Linked DNA regions of Oryzias latipes. Each later gene encodes a partner of the first gene's protein in a complex. Links are inferred from orthologs where the notes say so. Each region holds a gene or a part of one and is shown on either strand. Other genes may lie near its edges.

Region 1 (2,947 bases):
CCAACACTGGTTTAGGAATATCTCTAAATACACGCGTGCATACATTTTTATACGGCCGAGTTTTCACCATCTTACCATAATCTTTCTAGCTGCCTGCAGATTCTTCTGTCTGATCTCAAACTGGGCGAAGAGAAGCCAGATCTTGGCAAACGTGAACTACAAAAAAAAAAACAAAGCAGGCGTCACTGTAAGGTTATGTCAGCAAACCGACCTTTTTTTTAAGAAATGACAAGTATTCTAAAGAATACCTTTTTGTGAGGCATAAGATCCAGACAGGCCTGGTAAACCTGCCTAGTTCTCTCTGGATCCTGTCAGGTGATTTAAAAAAAGGGTAAAACTTCTTGTTTTTGATTGCTCTGATGCAGAGGAGTCAGTATTTTTCACTTTCATTTGTTTTAAGATTCTCCAAGTGAGCAGAGGTGAGCATGCAGTTCCTTTCCCATGTGCTTTGGAAAGTAGACATGAGGTGAATGAAGAACCAACCTTGACTTCTAGTTCTTCGTACAGAGCATAGTTGATCCAGAGGTAGATGTATCGCCTCCAGTGCCTTTTCTCTTGAATGGGAGGGATGTTGGCGATGGCTCTCTCATAAACATCTCTGACCGTGTCAGGGTCTCCATCGCTCTCCACCAGGCGCAGGTAATCAAACCAGGCATCATAGTTGAGTGGGTTTGCCTGAAGAAGATACGAATCATGAGAATCCTTGTGTTTGAAGGCAAGAACCCTTTCCTCTCTAAGATCAGTAGTTGGTATGCAATGCTGTACAGCAAGCTAACACCCGACTGCATCTTTTAGATCAAAATCAGGTTTTAGTTTTATTTCTACCACAGATTAAGATGGGTCATTTTCAGAATTTATCATGTAAATCTGATCTGGGAGAATTAATAGATTCTTAGATGAACTAAGATTCAGATTTCTTTGTTTCATGCAGTAATTAAAACACAAAAAAGATACAACAACGATCTACAAAATGCTTAATAATTAACATTCAGTTAATTAGAAGTTGAGCTCTTCACAAACTAACACTTTTTTGAGCCACAACTCATGTTGCATCATTAATTTATCTGACAGAAATCTTCACATTTAGGTTTTTTTTTTTAAATGTCATCCAAATGAGCCTAAATTTGTTGTCTTGTCAAACTCCATGTTCTGCTTGTTGTTGGGTTTTACCCAGCTTCCATTTGACATTTTTACCTTGACCTCCTCTTCATACTGAAATCTTCGTTTGTTGATGATCACATCCTCAATCCCCCTGCGGTCTCCAAACTTCTTCTCAAACATGGTGTAGTTTTTGAAGAGTTCCTGCGCTTGATTTTTCGGAATCTTGTCCAACGCATACTTATAAATGACTCGAACCCGCTCGAACTGCATAGAAAAAGAAACTCTGTGTTATTAGAAGCCATGATTGCACATGGAAATACAATAAATTTTTCTTGTACCTCCTTCTGCATCTCCTCAAATTTGGCAAAAGCCACAAAGAGGTTTTCGTTGACGTGATCCTCTCCATAGAACTCCGCTGCTCTTTCGTACACCTTCCTGCTATGAGCAATGTAGCCATGTTTCTCTTCAAAGCGGGCATACTTGATCCAGTTCTTCACTTCAGGGTGAACCATCACAAGTGCGAGGAGTCAAGAAATGTTATGTTTCCAGCAAGATTACCCATGTTTCTGTTCATCCTAAAAAGGTTGCTAGTAATTAAATGGCCTTGGTATTCTGATTGTAAGTCAATGTCTGAAAAGGCCTCATCTTGTCTGGAAAATGTGTGGTTATAGAAGAAAAAAAACTATAAATTACCTAGTAACACAAACAGATGTCAGCAGAAGTTCAATATGTTGGCTAAAGTTATTACTTTAATTTTTTTCTACTGCTCAGTTTACTAACGTTCCTCTAAATAAATTTGGGTTGCAGGAAGAAAAGCAGTTTCTGTGAGGTCAAAATGGTCAAATAAATGATGTAAAAGGATATATCGCTCATAAATGGTGCGGGCTTTGTCCACCTCCTTGTAGCGAAGTTCAAAATTGATGTAAGAGTGCCAGGCCTGTTCATCAGGCTCCCACTCCATCCAGCGCTCAAACGCCTGCCTGCAGCCGGCAACGTTACCCAACATCTCCTCCATGTATGTGTACTTGTACCTGTTCAACAGAAGAATACTTCTTTAAAATAATGCACAAACTGGACAAAAGAAGTGAAGGGAATTAAAAAATCATACCAAAACTGGTTGACTCGAGGAAGGATGGTGATGGCTCTGTCCCAGATGTTGCGGGCGTGATTCACCTGGCGGTTTTTCATCTCCATCTCTGCATACTTTAGCCACAGCGTGATGTTGCGGTGATCGACATCCAGCGCTCGTTCGTAAATGGAGCGCGCCCTGACAGCAGGTAAGGCAGTGGTGAGAGAAAGTGGACAGCAAAGGCATGCAAGGTTGTTTAGAATTCAAAAACCTAAGACAAACTAAAAAAATCTCCAATTAAAGTAGCTCCTGCATATAGCTTTCTTGTTGGGCAAACGGGGGCCTAGATTGAAAAAACACAAGTTATAAAGATAGAGTAAAATACCTTTGGACCTCTTTCTGGCTTTCTTCCCATTGTGCGTACTTAATCCAGTTACTGATGATTGTGCGGTTCTTTCTGATGTTGTCCTCAAACGCCTACAAAAGTAGAATTTTAGGTTGGATAAATAATTTAAACGTTTCATAGTTTTTCTTTTAAAAAGGTTTGTTCTTTAAGTCAAAGTCAAGCAAAACATATTAATCATGTTCTAATATAAGATATTACAGTACTGATAAAGTTAAAACCATAAAAACCCACCTTCCTCTTCCTCAGTTTGTAATCATTTAGCTCCTCTGCATTGGTGATCTTCTGTTTCGGAGGTGGTGGCAGAAGTTCAAGCTCCCTTTCTTTGGCTTCTCTCAGCAGCTGCTCAGCTGTAATCTGCACATCTGCTGGGG
Region 2 (4,361 bases), on another chromosome or scaffold:
AGGATGTCCAAACTAACAACCCTCTGATTGTCTACTTTCCTCATTTCTGACCGTAAGGCGGCTTCGCAAGGAGCGCGCACGTTTCACGTGCGCTGAACCTACAGCCTCCTTACGCAGTCTGCAGTAGTGATGGGTAAATGAGGCCTCGTGAAGCGTTGACACATCAGCCAAACTGTATGGATTCTGTGTTGATGATACTGTTTCACTCAATACTGACTCCTGCTGGACCAGAAACATCATTGCAGGCAACACAGTTAAGAAAGTTCACAGATTTACTGATTAAATCAACTAAACAGAATATTTGTTACCGTAGTTCCTCATTCCCATGTCTCGCGCTCTATAAGATCCAGCATTGGGGAGATGCTTTTAAGTTTGACAGTTCTGCTGAACAACCTCCAAAACATAAAATGATTCATGTCAAATAAGAGACAGAATGCAGTGGAATTGTATTCTGCTGGACCAACTGAGAGGAATGGGGGGAGAAAAAGCCTAAATCCTTGATAAAATTGTTAAATGATTCCAAAAACCTAATTAAAAACACCACATTCAACACCTTTCGGAAAGATTCAGTAAAATAAAACGTCATACACAGGTGGGCGGGGAAAACAGGGTGGGCGAGAATCGTTCAACAGCTGGAAGTTTGGGTGCATGAAAAGCTGTTTTTTTCCTACTCTGTTAAAATCGCAGCGGAACTGATTTAACACCCAAGTGACTGAAATGTAACAGAAAAGATCAGGTTAATTTTTCAAAATAAAAGATAGCTTAGACTCATAATAAAACTAACTGAACCCTGCCAAGTTGACACGAAACCCGCCAAAGCAAATTTTCCAAAATTACCCAACTGGGTGGAAAACCGAAGAATCTGGCAACGATACGCTTCCTTGTTTGGCTTCTCTGTGACACGCAGACACAGTGGCTGTATGGGTCACGTGACTTTTCCTCTAAACAACACCCATACATTTGAAGTGTTAACTACAACCTGTCGCATGCCCGTATGCATCAACAAGTACACTCACTTGATAATTCGTGTGTTCTTAGTTGGGACTAAGGCTTTAGGCAGCACAAAGTTTGCTGTGGAGAGCAGAAACATACCTGACTGACTTGATTCGCCATCTCCTCGTCTTCCTCAGCTTCCTCACCAAACGATAACAAACTGAAGTTCCTGGAAAAGTTTTTTTGGAGCATTAATCCAAATCACAACAACAAACAAAAACCACTACAATCACAGAAAACAACAAGATTGTAAGAGGAATTCAAATACGAGGCCACATGGACTTAAAACCAAGAAAACTACATTTTGCAGGTGAGAAAAACATTCACAATAAAAGTCTGATAGTTGTATTTTTTAGCATAAACAGGGAAGAAGAAAGAGTGAATGCTCACTTCGTGGCTTTTGACTGGGATTTCTTTGCCTCTTCCTTGTCTTTATCCTTTTTGCTTTTCTTCGTTTCTCGAGGAACAATGTCATCAAAGGGATTGTGCAGAACCTGGAAGACGCACACAACATTATCACAAGGGAAAAAAAACGACTTTTTAGATACAGGAGCTGCTCTGATTGGTGTGAATAAACGAATCACCTCAGCACATCTGATCTTATGAGGCCTCAGAGGTCGTTCATCTTTGTCGCATTCAACCTGAGCCAATCTGAGCAAGTTATAGACCGTATCTCCAGTGACCTGCAGTAAAACAAAAGGAAAATAAGGCTTTTTTTTAACATAAGCAGCTCTTAAAACATCCACCATACAATGGACTGAAGTTATGCTCACCTTTCCAAATATGGTGTGTTTATTGTTGAGTTCATCCGCACGCGCCAACGTGAAAAAAAACTGACTCCCATTATCGTGTGGCCCAGCGTTCGCCATAGCAACCAGGCCTCTCCGAATGAAGCGCAGTCTTGAGTGAAACTCGTCCTGAAAGGTGAAGTTTAGGGTTTTCGCTTAGGCTTAAACACACGTTTTTCTGAAGCGAGCAGCGAAACTGTCGGACCTTGAACGGACGGCCGTACACGGACTCTCCCCCGGTTCCTGTTCCTGTAGGATCCCCACCCTGAATGATGAAGTCCTGGACCACTCTGTGGAAAATGGTGCCATCGTAGTAACCTATAGGGTTAGAAATAGAGACCCAAACAGCACAGATTGGATCACTTTTCCCAAGAAAGAAAACAAAACAAAAAGGCAGATTTAACTCTCGATTTTTGGTTCTTTTTGACAGATCCTACCTTCCATGCAGAGCTGCACAAAGTTCCTGGAGGCTTTGGGAGCCTCTTTGGACCACAGCTCAATGTCAATTTCTCCTGCTGATGTTTTCAACAGAACCTGGAAGAACATTTTCCAACATACAATCTTCAGTTAACAATAAATACATCTAATTATTAGCTAATGGAGACAATTGTTGTACATTTCAGAGGTAAAACCACATGAAAGTTGGGCTTTTCTGGAGCGAAAGAAACTGAACGCTCACCTTTCCATTCGTCGGAGGTTCCTGAATGTAAATGTTGCTCATTTTGCCCCCCGACTTCTAACTAATTTATACGTTTAAAGTACTTTTAGTTAACTGAAAACAAAGCGAATGGTAAAGAATGATTCTTACAACTGTTTTTCTTACATGAGATTAATTTGATCGTTTCACTTCCAAAGCCATCTTAGCTGCATCTGTTCGCGGGTTGTTTACTTCCGAGTGCACAGGGACGTCAGAAGGTAGACATATAATCTTATTGAAACGTTTTGCACTTAATATATAATTGAATTTGATAAAAGGGTATTTCTTTAGAAAACGCCGCATTTTAAAGCATGCAAATAAAAATAAACTATAACAACAAAACAAACGAATTACGTTTTTCCAACTATTTCCCCTCTTCAATTGCATTGGTTTGATCCATGTGTTCTTTGATAACTGCCCCGCGGAAACATGATCGCGCTCAGTGGAAACTCTATTTAAGTTTGAAAAAAAATCTAATATTAATGTAAAAGGTGTTTGCATATGCATTTAATTTAATCTTATTTTTTACTTACTATATATGTATGCATTTACTTCGATTGGAAGGGTTAACGAATTTAGAAGTCAAGCGGAAGTGCCGTAATCACGACAGGACAAACCAGAAGAGAAGCAACGATGGCGGAATCTGAAAACAGTGTGGATTTGAAGCGAAAGGCTGAAGATAACCGGGACGGAGATGAAGAACAACAAGATTCCGAATGGGTCGGACCCATGCCGAATGAAGCCACGACGACTAAAAAACGGAAAGGTTGGTTTCTGGTGGCGGCTTTACCCTGGTCTGTGACAAACATCTGTTAGAAGTCGTGCTAATCCGCGCTAACCCCCGCTCTTTTCTGCCTGTTTTTGTGTGTTTGGTGTCAGTACTCGAATACGAGCGTGTTTACCTGGACAACCTGCCCTCAGCTGCCATGTATGAACGGAGCTACATGCACAGAGACATTATTACGCATATAGTTTGTTCCAAGTAAGTCTAACTAAGTGGTGGAAATGTAACTTCATTCAGCTGATCATGCAACTATGGAAATGAAAGACAAGTCGATCAGAACTGTTATGCAGCTTCAGGTGTCAAAGAAGCAAAAGAGTGTGCAGTTTTTGTGTTTCTATGTACCTTATAGTAAAGTTAATAGTAAAAATACTTAGAATTTGTGCTCTCTGGCAAAATGTTCTTTAGAGGAATTGTGCCGTTTATCTGACACTCCTCTCTTTTTCACGCTGTCCCTTTTCTGTTCCAGAACAGACTTTGTCCTAACTGCCAGCCAAGACGGCCACGTCAAGTTTTGGAAAAAGAAGGAGGATGAGGGTATAGAGTTTGTGAAACACTTCAGAAGCCACTTGGGTAAGACCTTCGTTTTCGCCCTCGTTTCGATCTTGCAGGCGCACGAATGTGGCTTTCTTCTCAACGTGAAGCTGTGTTTGTGCAGGTGTGATCGAGAGCATCGCCGTCAGTGCCGAAGGGGCTCTCTTCTGCTCTGTTGGGGACGATCGGGCCATGAAAGTCTTCGATGTGGTCAACTTTGACATGATCAACATGCTGAAGCTGGGGTGAGTTCCAATGACGGTGCAGTGGAGCCTGAATGATGCGGCAGACACTGATGCAGGGTTTGTTTGCAGCTTTCACCCCGGACAGAGTGAGTGGATCTACAACCCCGGGGACGCCATCTGCACCGTGGCGTGTTCTGAAAAATCCACAGGGAAGATCTTTGTGTACGATGGGCGGGGAAGCAGCGAGCCCCTTCACGTCTTTGACAAACTGCACTCCTCCCCGCTGACTCAAATCCGCTTGAATCCTAAATTCCGAGTTATCGTGTCTGCCGACAAAGCGGGAATGCTGGAATACTGGACAGGCCTTCCCAACGAGTTCAAGT

The links.
Region 2: crnkl1 (region 1) and cwc27 share a complex: the UniProt entries of both Homo sapiens proteins name them as parts of the minor spliceosome. The link is inferred for Oryzias latipes from reciprocal best matches to the Homo sapiens genes CRNKL1 and CWC27.

The regions. Positions count from the first base shown.
Region 1 is NC_019882.2:16,311,395-16,314,341, reverse strand, and holds part of crnkl1 (crooked neck-like protein 1), read right to left. Parts: coding exon 2,808-2,947; intron 2,648-2,807; coding exon 2,556-2,647; intron 2,369-2,555; coding exon 2,210-2,368; intron 2,133-2,209; coding exon 1,966-2,132; intron 1,619-1,965; coding exon 1,440-1,618; intron 1,366-1,439; coding exon 1,195-1,365; intron 676-1,194; coding exon 484-675; intron 309-483; coding exon 249-308; intron 157-248; coding exon 76-156; intron 1-75. UniProt on the Homo sapiens protein: Involved in pre-mRNA splicing process. As a component of the minor spliceosome, involved in the splicing of U12-type introns in pre-mRNAs.
Region 2 is NC_019870.2:3,045,505-3,049,865, forward strand, and holds the start of cwc27 (peptidyl-prolyl cis-trans isomerase CWC27 homolog), read right to left. Parts: upstream 2,858-4,361; 5' UTR 2,503-2,857; coding exon 2,461-2,502; intron 2,316-2,460; coding exon 2,219-2,315; intron 2,100-2,218; coding exon 1,987-2,099; intron 1,911-1,986; coding exon 1,767-1,910; intron 1,677-1,766; coding exon 1,578-1,676; intron 1,488-1,577; coding exon 1,384-1,487; intron 1,163-1,383; coding exon 1,093-1,162; intron 1-1,092. Other genes in the region: ppwd1 (peptidylprolyl isomerase domain and WD repeat-containing protein 1), read left to right, coding at 3,112-3,244, 3,358-3,460, 3,729-3,832, 3,918-4,038, 4,108-4,361. UniProt on the Homo sapiens protein: As part of the spliceosome, plays a role in pre-mRNA splicing. Probable inactive PPIase with no peptidyl-prolyl cis-trans isomerase activity. As a component of the minor spliceosome, involved in the splicing of U12-type introns in pre-mRNAs.